Oryzias latipes: one gene and its partners. The protein of the gene in region 2 interacts with the protein of the main gene of each other region in a biochemical or structural test. Links are inferred from orthologs where the notes say so. Each region holds a gene or a part of one and is shown on either strand. Other genes may lie near its edges.

Evidence for each region.
Region 1: the proteins of glrx5 (region 2) and bola3 form a complex in vitro, tested with the Homo sapiens proteins (4 studies listed by BioGRID and IntAct, with this or other methods). The link is inferred for Oryzias latipes from reciprocal best matches to the Homo sapiens genes GLRX5 and BOLA3.
Region 3: the proteins of glrx5 (region 2) and bola1 form a complex in vitro, tested with the Homo sapiens proteins (2 studies listed by BioGRID). The link is inferred for Oryzias latipes from reciprocal best matches to the Homo sapiens genes GLRX5 and BOLA1.

What each region holds. Positions count from the first base shown.
Region 1 is NC_019861.2:20,370,045-20,374,404, reverse strand, and holds the start of bola3 (bolA-like protein 3), read left to right. Parts: upstream 1-1,532; 5' UTR 1,533-1,646; coding exon 1,647-1,709; intron 1,710-1,822; coding exon 1,823-1,946; intron 1,947-2,734; coding exon 2,735-2,823; intron 2,824-4,360. UniProt on the Homo sapiens protein: Acts as a mitochondrial iron-sulfur (Fe-S) cluster assembly factor that facilitates (Fe-S) cluster insertion into a subset of mitochondrial proteins. Probably acts together with NFU1.
Region 2 is NC_019882.2:12,959,692-12,963,335, forward strand, and holds glrx5 (glutaredoxin-related protein 5, mitochondrial), read left to right. Parts: upstream 1-1,414; 5' UTR 1,415-1,550; coding exon 1,551-1,848; intron 1,849-1,926; exon of another isoform or gene 1,927-2,209; coding exon 2,210-2,382; 3' UTR 2,383-3,035; downstream 3,036-3,644. Other genes in the region: prkrip1 (PRKR-interacting protein 1), read right to left, coding at 583-1,149.
Region 3 is NC_019874.2:29,251,769-29,255,769, reverse strand, and holds bola1 (bolA-like protein 1), read right to left. Parts: upstream 2,673-4,001; 5' UTR 2,570-2,672; exon of another isoform or gene 2,368-2,569; intron 1,261-2,367; 5' UTR 1,245-1,260; coding exon 792-1,244; 3' UTR 620-791; downstream 1-619. UniProt on the Homo sapiens protein: Acts as a mitochondrial iron-sulfur (Fe-S) cluster assembly factor that facilitates (Fe-S) cluster insertion into a subset of mitochondrial proteins. Probably acts together with the monothiol glutaredoxin GLRX5. May protect cells against oxidative stress.

The DNA of each region.
Region 1 (4,360 bases), on a different chromosome or scaffold from region 2:
AATAAATAAATAATGAGTTATTTAACATTAAGCAGTAGTTACATTTATTTTTCATTACATTTAGTTACATGTATAACTTATATCTGGCCCTTTGAGGACAACCACTATGCTGATGTGGCCCTCGGTGAAATGAGTTTGACACCCCTGCTCTAAATTGTCCATAGGTGTGAGTGTGACTGTGCACTGGTGTGTGATATGTGGCCCTCTGACAGACTGGTGACCTGTCCTGGATGTCTCCTGCCTTCGCCCGCAAGTGGCCAGGACAGGCTCTGGCAGCCCAGGGACCCCGAAAGGGAACAAACAGATTGGAATATGAATGAATGAATAATTTCCGTCAAACATAAATATCAGTGTGGTTCCCTTCTAAGGCATTTATTTTAAAATTGTTCAGCTGTTTCTTTTATAAGACAGTATTCGTTTAGCATATTTATTTTGTTTTCATCTGTTTTTTTACATTTATCCAATACAGGGCCAAGGCCAGATCCCTATCTGCCATCACCGATGTGTTGTAACTCAAAAGGGCTGTAGTGAAGAGTTGTCATGCTACACGGTCACAAGTTTGATTTGTTTGGTGAAGTGTTTTGTTTTGTTTGTTTGGATTGTACCAATAGTTTTTTTGCCTCTGGCTTCCAAATCAAAAATTCCGTAACTCATCAATCTGGCAGTTACTGTGCACCTGGAGGATTTTGTTTTTATAAAGTTTTCCTTTGTGTGACAGTCACATTGAAAATATGTAATATATTGTGGAAAAACTATATTCTCACTCACTCAGTCACTCAGTCACTCAGTCACTCACGAACGAACGAACGAACAAATGAACGAACAAATGAACGAAAATATGTGTTTAGAAGTTATTTTTCTTGAATGTCACAATGCTTCTTGGCCTAAATCTTGTACCAATAAAAATGGAAAACATTCATAGGGAAAGGTGTTGGGAGTGACTCACTACAAAAGTGACATGTTACAGTAACAGCTTTAAAAAATAGTTTGAAGTGTTGATAATGAATTTTGAGAAATGTTTTTCTAATTCCATGTTCAGTAACAGCACACTAAACACCCAAACGTAATTGTTAAAAGATGCAAGACGTGGGCATTAAAAGATGAAAATACTGTAAGTCATTTCATAAAGTATTTTTAAAAATTATTTAAACGTTAATTACAAAGACCAAAATTCCTGATTGGCCTTATAGACTCAATCAATTTATTTTCCTATTTAAAAAGCGTCATAGTCTTCAGTAATAATTTTTATTTATTTATTTATTTTTACAGAGAAATATATGTCTCTCCTTTTATTCTAGGCTGGATAAATGACCCAATAACTTGATTTAATTAAGCAACACATTTGGTTTTAGTCTTATCAAACCATCTGAGTTTCTATTTCTTTATCTAGTCACTGTTTTCTTTACATTTAGTCTTCCTATTTAAATATATAACAGCAACAATAAAAACTTTATTCTTTTAAGGTAACAAGTTTGTATGAATATTATTTTCAGTATAACTGGGGGGAAATCGATGAACGACAGTGCAGGGGCAGTACCCGGATGTTTGACGTCACATCTCGGCTTCAGAATCGTCTCTAGGACATGACTTTAGTGACCGAAGCTGTTTTTTGTGTGGCGTAACTAAAGGGTCACTCTATTCTAGCCATGCTGGCACGTTTCTGTAGCAGCAGGACAGTCTCTACTCTCCATGCTCTTTGCGGCAACCAAGTATAAACAGTTTTTATGGCCTTACAGAATCAGTCTGTAGCAACATGCTAACCGTGTTCCCATCGGCTAAGTCCCACTGACTGACGTTCTAACTCCTGTCTACGGTTCTGCAGGTTTCTCTCTACGGGCAGCTGCAAAGATGTCTGTCAACGCAAACAGACGGAGAGGTCCGCATCGCCAACATACTGAGGGAGAAGTTTCCATCCGCATCATCGCTCAAAGTTACGGATATATCAGGTAAACAAAAGTGATTGGCTGTTTTTAAAAGTTATTATAGGACAACAAAGTCTCCTGTCTCTCTTCACCCTTTAGGCAACAACGATTTGCAGATCTGTTTGGAAGTACCTGTCAATGTTTTTATTTCTTTTTAACATTATATATATATATTATATAACAAATATAATAGTTTTTAGTTTCAAATGGATGTTATGTCAGCAAGTGGAGCTCCGAACTAAAGCAAGTAGGCGTCTCCATTTATGCCTGTTCAAAATCCTGAAAAGGAGAGAGGAAAAAAAGAAGACATTTAAAATAATGGTTATTGACATTTGACATGTGATACGAAAAGTTTAATTCATTATTATTTTGCCCACAAATAAATGACACCTGAGTAAATATACTAAAATTTTGTCTTTTGTCGTACTTTTAAGGTAAAATGACCCAAACCCCATATTTCAGACATTCATGGATTAAAGTAAATCCTTCTCCGGTATTAACAGAATCAGAACAGCAGAAAGAAAGCAAAGCTAAGCACAAAGGATTAGAGAAGCAGTAAAGTTGAATTAATATTTTACATTAAAAACTGAAATCTGAGTATGACTAACCCACATTTTTGAAATTACCTTTAAAAGAAGATCAAAAGTGGATTTAACTTAGCAATATTGTATTTAGCAAGTAAAGGTCAATACAATATTAACCATATTTTTTAGACCCAGCTCTCTATTAACTATGCAATTTGTGATTGATTAATTGCTGTAACTCAGTCGTACCTTGTTTTTGTTTTTTGTTTTATCCTGTGATGTGCATAGGTGGTTGTGGGGCCATGTATGAAATCCACATAGAGTCCAGTGAATTTCAAGGAAAGAAAACTGTTCAGCAGCATCAGCTGGTCAACCAGGTAAAGCAAGAGAAAGAAAACACGCTAATATTCAGTTTCTATTCTCTTGTGTTTTTTTTAAACTGAACTGAAATGAAATGAAGGACCTCTAGAAGTTTTGACATTTTAACTAATTATGCTTTTTAACTCTCCAAAAATACAGCTTGCATCCTTTTTAAAGTTTTCTGCAACTAATGAAAATTTGGTTTTACTTTAATTTCTCCAAAAAAATATAACTTAGACCAGGGGTCAGCAACCGGCGGCTCCAGGGCCGCATGCAGCTCTTTCATGCCTGTGCTGCGGCTCTCTGTGGTTTTGTAAAATAACTATCATGTTCTGAGAATGTCGTGATGCCTTTAACACCGTTGGGTAGCGCGAGCAGGCAGGAGGAAGAGAGCAGCGTGAATGCACGCAGGGGGCGCGTCTGCAGCTATGAACGTGGACTAGAGTCTGTCATGAGAGGGAAAGGTTTTCTAAAAAGTCGTAATCATGTAGGGGGCACGTGAAGCGCCCCCCCCCCCCCCCCCCCCAGCCAATTTTTTCCTAGGCTAAAACCACCCATTTCCACGTGAAATTAATTAAATTTGCGTAAAGGCGCCCCTACTATCCTGTCAACTGTCTGCTATGATGACTGTATGTTGCGCTGTCTGTGTAGAACACGCTGGAGGGGGGGTTGCATGCGGGGGAAAGCAACTTGGAGCTGCAGAGGAGTGAACAGGTAGAGGGGCGGGTCTTAGATTCACCGCTTGTGATTCCAGACCCGCAACAAACTAACAGCTGCTTCCTAACAAAAAAATAGTTGTCATCTATAAAATTAATATACTTTATTGGGTTTACTGGATTTTAAAAAAATATAGAAAGGAGTCTGCATCAAAGGCTACACGTTCACAATGCAGGCTGAAACGACCCAATTCTGATTTAACTTTTGCCCCTATGCGACCAGTATCTGATCTTTTCATGACAGTCTGAACGACACAGATCCAATCTTTTCAAATGTGACCCAGGCCACTTGTGTATCCGACCCATACGTCATCAATACGCTACAAACGTCATGATTCTGCGTTGAAGTAGGCAGGAGCGAGAACATAAACATCAACCATGGCGGACGATGCTGCTGAGACCAGTCAGTGGAAAGGAAGCAAGGTCGCCAATTTGATTAATATTTGGGGTGACAGCTCTATTCAGGCCAAAGTCAAGGGCTCTTATCGCAACCGGTTGTTTTTTGAAAAAGTTTCCAGCGAAATGGCCGAGCGTGCTGTTGAGCCTTTCCCGCGATGACTTTTTTCCCCTTTTCCGACCGTGGCCAGAAGCGCGGGGGACCGAAGGCGGATCCTCCTTCAGGGTTCACTTCCCCGATTGGACCCTCAGATCATCCAGAGCGGGTTAATAAAGAGTCAATAGCGGTTCTGCTGGGGGAAGCCTTCTTTTATTACCGTTCTGCTTCCTCCGTAACACACATGAATGCGTGCCCCCAACACACTTCCGCTGCCCCCCCCCCCTCACTCCCTCCTGCACTGCACGCGCTCTCTCCTCTCTCTTACACACACGCGTGCGGCCC
Region 2 (3,644 bases):
AACAAAACGTGGAAAATAACAGAATGGTGTGACTGTGACAGCTGACAGTGTCTGAAAGGAAACGCTTTCCTCATCTCAAACAATATCCATCTGCCTGGCTTTTACTCTGCCTGCCTCTAGATCAGCGACGGCCACTGAGCCGGACGGTCGCCACCGTGGAAAGCAGGACTTTGTCCGAAGAAGATCGCACGTGGAACCCCCAACCCTTGAGGGGTCACGCCTTTTCATTCTTTGAGATGCTCTTTGCAGCTTTGTTTGGCCCACAAGCGACTGGTTTCACCAGGGGCAGCTTCACAACACTGCAAAAATATGTCCCTAATGTCATGCACAGCTCAGAGAATAACATGACAAAATAAAAGCATACAGAGAACTGAGCAAATACATTTTTATTTAAAAAATTCAAACTTAGTGGGTTCAATTTGACAGTCAGGAAAGAATTTTGATTTACTCAAAATCACAAATGTATAAACTGATGTCAAAGTTTGTTATTTTGACAACATTTGTATTTTAGTCCACTGGGTCATCAGAGGGAGCCTGGGTCAGTCCAGCTTCAGAAACAAACAGCTCTGCAGTGTTCTGCTGTTATTTTCTTCCCATGATAAAGCTGGGAGCCTCCGCATCATCCTCCTTCTCAGCCTCATCCTCCTCCTCCTCTTCATCACTGCTGCTCGCCGTTTTCTCTGCTGTGTCCGATTTGTCTTGATCCCCCACTTTGGCTTTTTTCGCCATCAGCTTCTTCTGCTTCAGCTTCTCTCGCTTCTTCCGCCGCTTCTCCGTGCGTTCCTGCGCCGCCTTCCTGTTCTCCTCCAGCTTCTTTAGGTAGTCCAGGTCCTTCTGCTGCTTCTCCGACAGCTTGTCCAGGAAATCCTGTCTTTGGTACTCCCTGCGGCGCAAGTGGCGGTAAACGTGGAACTCCCCACTGCCCGCGCCGGCGCTCGAGCCCATCACGTCCCTGACGAACTCCGGCGGCGCGCGCGGGTTCCACTCCTTCGGCCTGTCCGGAATGGGAGCTGGTTTCTCGGGGTTCCGCATGAGCCGCTCAAGCCGTAAACGTTGCTCCTCTGCCGGGTTCTTGGGAATAATTAGAGGCTGAGCCTCTTTGGCTCCAGATTTCCCCGGCTTGTTATTTTTTTGTGTGTTCGCCGCCATCTTTCAAAGAATTTTCGTTTTCTTCCGCTTTGTAGCGACTTGCCCCGGAAGTACCCCCCTCCCTAGCTCTACAAATATCCTTTTTATTGATCACATTTTTTATTTTAAACGATATGACATTAATTTTTAAGCCTGAAAGTTTTATCTGTGCTTTAAAAATGTTTTTTTAAAGAGTTTTCCTTGCGTAACTGTCCGTCATTTTGACCTACGTCATTGATTGACGTATGGCTCCGCCAATGACAGAACGTGCCTCAACTTGTGAAGGCGGGGCTGTCCAATCAACTGCCGGAATCCAGCGGAACGACTTAGTAGTGAGTGGTGGCCGACTAGTTTCTGTCTCACCAGAGAGCTAGAGTACATTTGACGCTTTGACTTATCCAGTCAAAAATAAGTAATTAGCCATGAATAGTTTGTTGAAGTTGTCAGCCAGGTGCCTTCGGTCGGGTTCAGCGGTCTTTTTGTCGAGGCCCGCGGAAGGACGCGCGTGCCTGGCCTCGGCCCGGTTTCTGTGTGCGGCGGCGGATGTCCAGAAGACTCTGGGTGACATGGTGAAGAAGGACAAAGTGGTGGTTTTTATTAAAGGCACGCCGGCACAGCCAATGTGTGGCTTCAGTAATGCCGTGGTCCAGATTCTGCGCATGCACGGGGTGGACGACTACGCCGCTTACAACGTCCTGGAGGACCAGGAGCTCAGGGAAGGTCAGTGTTGCGCGGTAACCTGTCCGACACCCTGAAAAAAAGTTGCCAATTCTTTAAAAAACAAAAAAAATTCAAAAGTTCTTTTTTAGTGTGTACTTTATTCTTACTTTGTTGGTACTTGGTTAAATGGTTCTAAACATTGTCTATTCAAAACAACCTTTATTTGTATCCATCTGTTATCAGTGTCTTGCAGCAGGGTGTGGTGCTTCAAGACAAACTGTCACAGCTGGATATATATAAGCAGCAAAAAATACATTAAAACAAATCTATACCATCTCTAAAAGTATTGAAGTCTAGATTGCCATGCTGGTCAACAGTTGTCCACTCTCTCTGGATTCCTAAGTTTTCCCTCTGCTTTCAGGAATCAAAGTCTTCTCCAACTGGCCCACGATCCCTCAGGTCTACTTCCAGGGGGAGTTTGTGGGAGGCTGCGACATCTTGCTCCAGATGCATCAAAACGGAGATCTAGTTGATGAACTGAAGAAGCTGGGCATCCGCTCTGCCCTTCTGGATGCAGAGAAAGACTCCAAGTAAAAAAAAAGAAAAAATCTGTTTTAATGTAAGAAGTTGAGGATAGGCTTAATGGAAGAAATCCTCACCCACATTCAAATGATTACAGAAAGTTCGACTCAGTAGAAAGGCTGAATCACATGGTCTATCAAAATACAAACACAGAAAGAGTCCAGAGTGCTTGAATCATTGGTTAGTTGGGAGAAACCCATTTGTATTTGGATCCAAACACACTTTTTTTTCTTATTAACGTTCATCATGAACAAACCTGGCCCTCAATCTCCTGCATCAAAACAAAGGTCATGATTAAGCTGCCAGTTACATCACAGAATGTCGACACTGGAAACCTTCCAAATGCACTGCCTCCAGGGGGAAGAACTCCATCCCTTTCTGCAAGAAGCAACGCCTTTTTCGAAACCAACCGGACACAGTGGCTGCTTTGCTGCCTGTTGAGAAAAGCAGTTCATATCAGCTTCCTGTTACTAAAGGAAAAGTTTGTTTTTTTACAGTCATTTGTGTTCGTTTCCTCAAGCCCTGACTTTCCAAAGCTGCTGCAGTTGTATCATCACGGAAACATGTAGTACACTGTAAGATATTGTACATTTAAAGCCTATTATCACATGTATTTGGGATGCATGTAAATCTGCAAAAGTAAAACAGTTTGAAGACAAACTTTCCATTTGTGTGGGAACATTTTTCATTTGCATAAAGATTTGCATAAAAGACTAAAACTAGTTTAGCCTGGATGTCCTTATTTAGAAATAGAATTTTTAGTTTTCCTGATGACAAATCAAAGGACATTTCATTTGATGGGAGTTTGTTTACAAAATAAAAGCGTTATAGAAAAATGAATTCTGCAGAAAAACCTAACATTAAAGTTAGGCTTTCAATATTAAATAGGGTTCAGAATTGGACTCTGATCAATCAGTGAAAATGCTGTGTCATCATAGACCATTCCTTTGTCATTTCAGCTTGATGTATTTTGACATCGTCATCTTGGAGTATTTCCGTGCTATCGGGAAAGAAAAGAATCCATTGATGGAATAATCTGGTGATTCCGTTTTTTCAGGTCGTCACTGACTTCGTTCTTTGAGCTGAAACCGTTGCTACGTTCACACCGCATCAGCTCACCCCAGCACTCTGGAAGACGGTAAATCTGGACGCATCAGACCACATGATCTATCAATGCTCCAAAGTCCAGACTTGAAAAACGGAAACTTCTTTTTTTGTTAGCCTACTGATCTGCGGTTTTCTTGAGGCGACACAATAGTTCAGTCCCAAATCCT
Region 3 (4,001 bases), on a different chromosome or scaffold from region 2:
CAGGGGATGGGTCAAATGCGGAGAAGAATTTCCCCATTGAGGGATGAATACAGTATAAATTTATTTTATTTATTTAAAAGAAGTTCTGGTCACATAGCTGAAATGTTCTGTATCACTGTGCTGGCTTCTTTAAAACAAACTTTAGCTTCTTCATCTGAACAAAAACAAGTGGTTAGAGGTGAACGTTTTCTCTGAACTGATGTTTTATTTGACCCGTCGTGACGATCAGCATAGATATTGCTAACAAATAGTCCAACTTTTGTGAAAACAGCGATCCAAACCGAACAAACAAGAATAAAGTACTAAAAACTGAAAATCTGGTTAGAATCCTGGGACCTTCTTTGTGTGTGGAGTTTGCATCTTCTCCCCATGCATGCGGGACATTTCTCCAGGAACTTTGCTTCCCCTCACCGTCCAGAAGCGTGTTTCATAGGTCAAGTAATTGGTTACTCCAAGGTGTGAGTGGGAGTAGTTGTGTGCCCTGTGACAGACTGACACCCCATGACCCCAAAATGGATATAAAAAATGGATGGTTGGAAGGAAATGATGAACTCACCATTCTCAACATTTTCCTGTGTTGGAAAAATGTAGTTTTTTTTTTTTTTAATAATTGAAAGCATTTTTACGATTTTTTGTTTTTAATAGAAATTAAGTTCCGTTACATTGATACAAATGATCAATAAAGTTTTTCAAAACAGCTTTTGAATTTGTTATAATGTCATCTTTTATTTACATTCACAGTCCTTGTTGGTGACACACACACTGCATCCCACTCATCGCTACATGAACTGTCACTCTCGGCCGGCCTTCAGCTTCTCCTCCACTGTGTGGTCGCCCCTCGAACCCCCCATGCATGCCGGACTCTTTGCCAGGGCGGGGCTGCTCTCCCACTGCTCAGGAGTCTTTGCCTGGATGGCCAGAGCGTGCACGCGGCTGCTGAGCTCCTCCTTCAGGGCATCGTTAACCAGGCGGTGGCGCTGAATCAGAGGCAGGCCCTGGAACTGAGAGCTGACCACCAGAACGCGGAAATGGGATTCGGATCCCGGAGGAACGGCGTGCATGTGGCTTTCGTTGTGGATCTCCAAGTGGTCGGGTTTGAGGGCCTCGGTCAGTTTGGTCCGGATGGCCCGCTCCACAGGGCGGCTGGGGTCAGGGTCCATGTGCGGCCTGACGTGAGCCAAAGGCCGGGCTGCGGAGAGGCGGACTGAGGCGGGCCGGGCGGAACGCAGGACACAGGGGAGCATCGGGGCGGGACACCACCTGGTGGAGGAGTTACAGCAGAGCTCCGTCAGGCCACGATGGTAAATGAGATCAGGAGGCAAATACCTTTAACCAACTTTAAATCATCAATGTAGCTTTTATTTTAAAAAAAGAAAGAAAGAAAAAATGATCAAATTTGTCTAAATCAGGTAGATGAACTGTGATTTAAATATATATATAATTGGTTATTTATTTAAATATTTTTACACAAAAAAAAACAGTTCAAAAGAAAAGGAGTTTTAGAAGAGAAATAAAGAATAGTAAACATGGCTGGAGAATAAGTTTGATCAATTATAATTACTATTTTTCTTCAAAAGTATTTACTTAATAAAAGGAGTACTTATCTAAAAATATATGTTAAAAAAAATATTGTTTTATGAAGAAAAACTTTTCTTAAAAGCCAAATTCATTTCATATAGAAGAAAACTAATCTGCTGATTTAATTTTTCAGCTCAAGCTGTGTTTTATTTAAGAAATAATATTTGCTTAGTTTAGATATAAAGATTTGGTAAAAGTTTAGTTTCAAAGTTTTCTTAAAATAAAGGAAGGAAATAAAACGCAAAGACAAAACAGAAAAAAGGTGAAACAAACTGGAATTTGGAGCAAAACTTTGTAAAACAAAACAGATAACTTTAAAACTATTAACTTAGAATTTAACTTAAAACTTAAAATTAAGTCTGTCTTTCTATCTTATCTTCCTTAACCACACACTGAGAAATGTTTATATTTACTATACATTTTTTTTTTATCTCAGAGATGTAAACACTAACAGTTATTATGGTTATTCGACTAAGCTGAAAAATGATCTGCAGTCTTGTTTTTATTTTCCGCTTTCCTGGATGTTTCAGTTTCAAAATTTAAAACCTTTTTGTTGTTTAAAAAACAAATATAATCGTTTAAAGCATCGATCGCGGGTGAGTTTTATCAAAAACATCGATGTAAAATAGTGACAATAACTACAAAACACGAGGGCGCCAGTTTTTCTAAGGTGAGGTCATTTTGGGGGCACTGGAGCCTTAAACTCTGTTATTTTAGAGAATTATGAACGTATATACATCAAAAGCGCAACAATAGTTGCATTTAAACCGGTAAAGAAAAGCGAATTACCTTTAGACGAAGACTCCGGTCGTCTGTTAGCATGAGCTGCTAGCTTAATTTAAAACAAACCCTACGTTACGTAATGGTGTCAAAACAGAAAACAACTTCTTTACTCCTCAAACTTTAAACGCAATTCTATTATAAACATAACCGTAGATGACATCTGATCATTTTAAAATGTAATTTTATTACAAATCGTGGAGTTATTTACCTCTACAGCCTTCTTCTTTTATTGATGGTTAGCGTACCGATAACCTTTCTGCCGACTACCGCCATCTGTCGAATAGGGGTGGAACTGCAGCATACCAAGAGGCCGACACCGAGTTTTCCTGTTTACGTTAGGCATTTCAAATATTTAATTTTTTCTTACAAACTAACAAAATTATATTGAATTTTATGGAGAATAAAATGTGTTAAATGTTTGTTTCGACTGTAACAGATTCAGGTATATGGTTGCGTGGTTTTCTATGTACATGATTAATGTGAGAGTCCTATTTAAGCAGCTTACACCAGGGAAGGATGACAGACTTCAGATCATCTTTTTTGACGCATGTTGAGGCAATCCAATGTAAACGAGTTTGTTACTTTCACATCTGTAAAATAAACTGATCTTAAAGGCCCATAGACCTGCACACTTCTGGACTGGGTTACCCCATCACAGCCCCAGTTGTCGGGGTTTTGACATCTATAACCACAACCTTCTTCTCCTTCTTGTCCATCACTATGATGTCCAGTTTGTCAGGGATTCACATTTTGTCTGTCTGTCCCACAGGAAATCCCAATTAGATGCTAAAATGTTTTGATTTCTTTCACCAAATCATAACTATTAGCATCAAACATATTTCCAGTGAGGTTCTGCAGAAAAACAAGTTATGAGCCTCAGAATTCATAATTCTTCTTAGCTCATAAATAAGAAAATATTATTAAAAGAAGTCTATTATTTCTGTTGGCAGTGGATGATCTTTTGTGTAACAAAACAAAAACAATTTTAGTAATTTTTTTACTACAACAAAATAATACTTTTTTTGTTTTATCTTAGATTTCGTGTTGTTTTTTACATGACTACCGTAGTTAATTTCCTGTTTGCTTGAACTTTTTCTGTTTGTGTTCTGTGGAAAGTTTCTTATCTTTGAATTCATTTCTCTTGGCTGCCTTCTGGTACGCAGTCAGTACAATGAGTGGTTTAAAAAAGGCTGCAAAAGGCTTATTGGTTTTGCAACTAGCAGTTTTAGTAATTACTGAAAAAATAAAAAATGTTATACTTGAATTTAGAATAGAATAGGGCATTTATATCTAATCTTAACAGAAATTATAGGCTACTTCTTGGATGTTTTCATTTTGATTCAGTGATGTTTGTTTCCCCAACAAAGATCCGGTTTTGTTTGTTGTTTTTGACCCATTCCAGCCCCCCTAAGAAAAGACCTGAATGCAGGGCCGGCCCTGGTCTTCCGGGGGCCCTAAGCGAAATTTAATTTGTGGGCCCTCTAACTGATCAGCAGCACCAACAAACCGTAATGAGTTTTTTTCTTGGTAATGTTAGAGAGCAGATTGTCTTGATATTTAATGCCCCAGCCGTGGAACGGCGTTGTGACGTTCTCCTCGCTGAGTGGAGGGTGAATTGTTAAGCAATGTACGGAACTGAC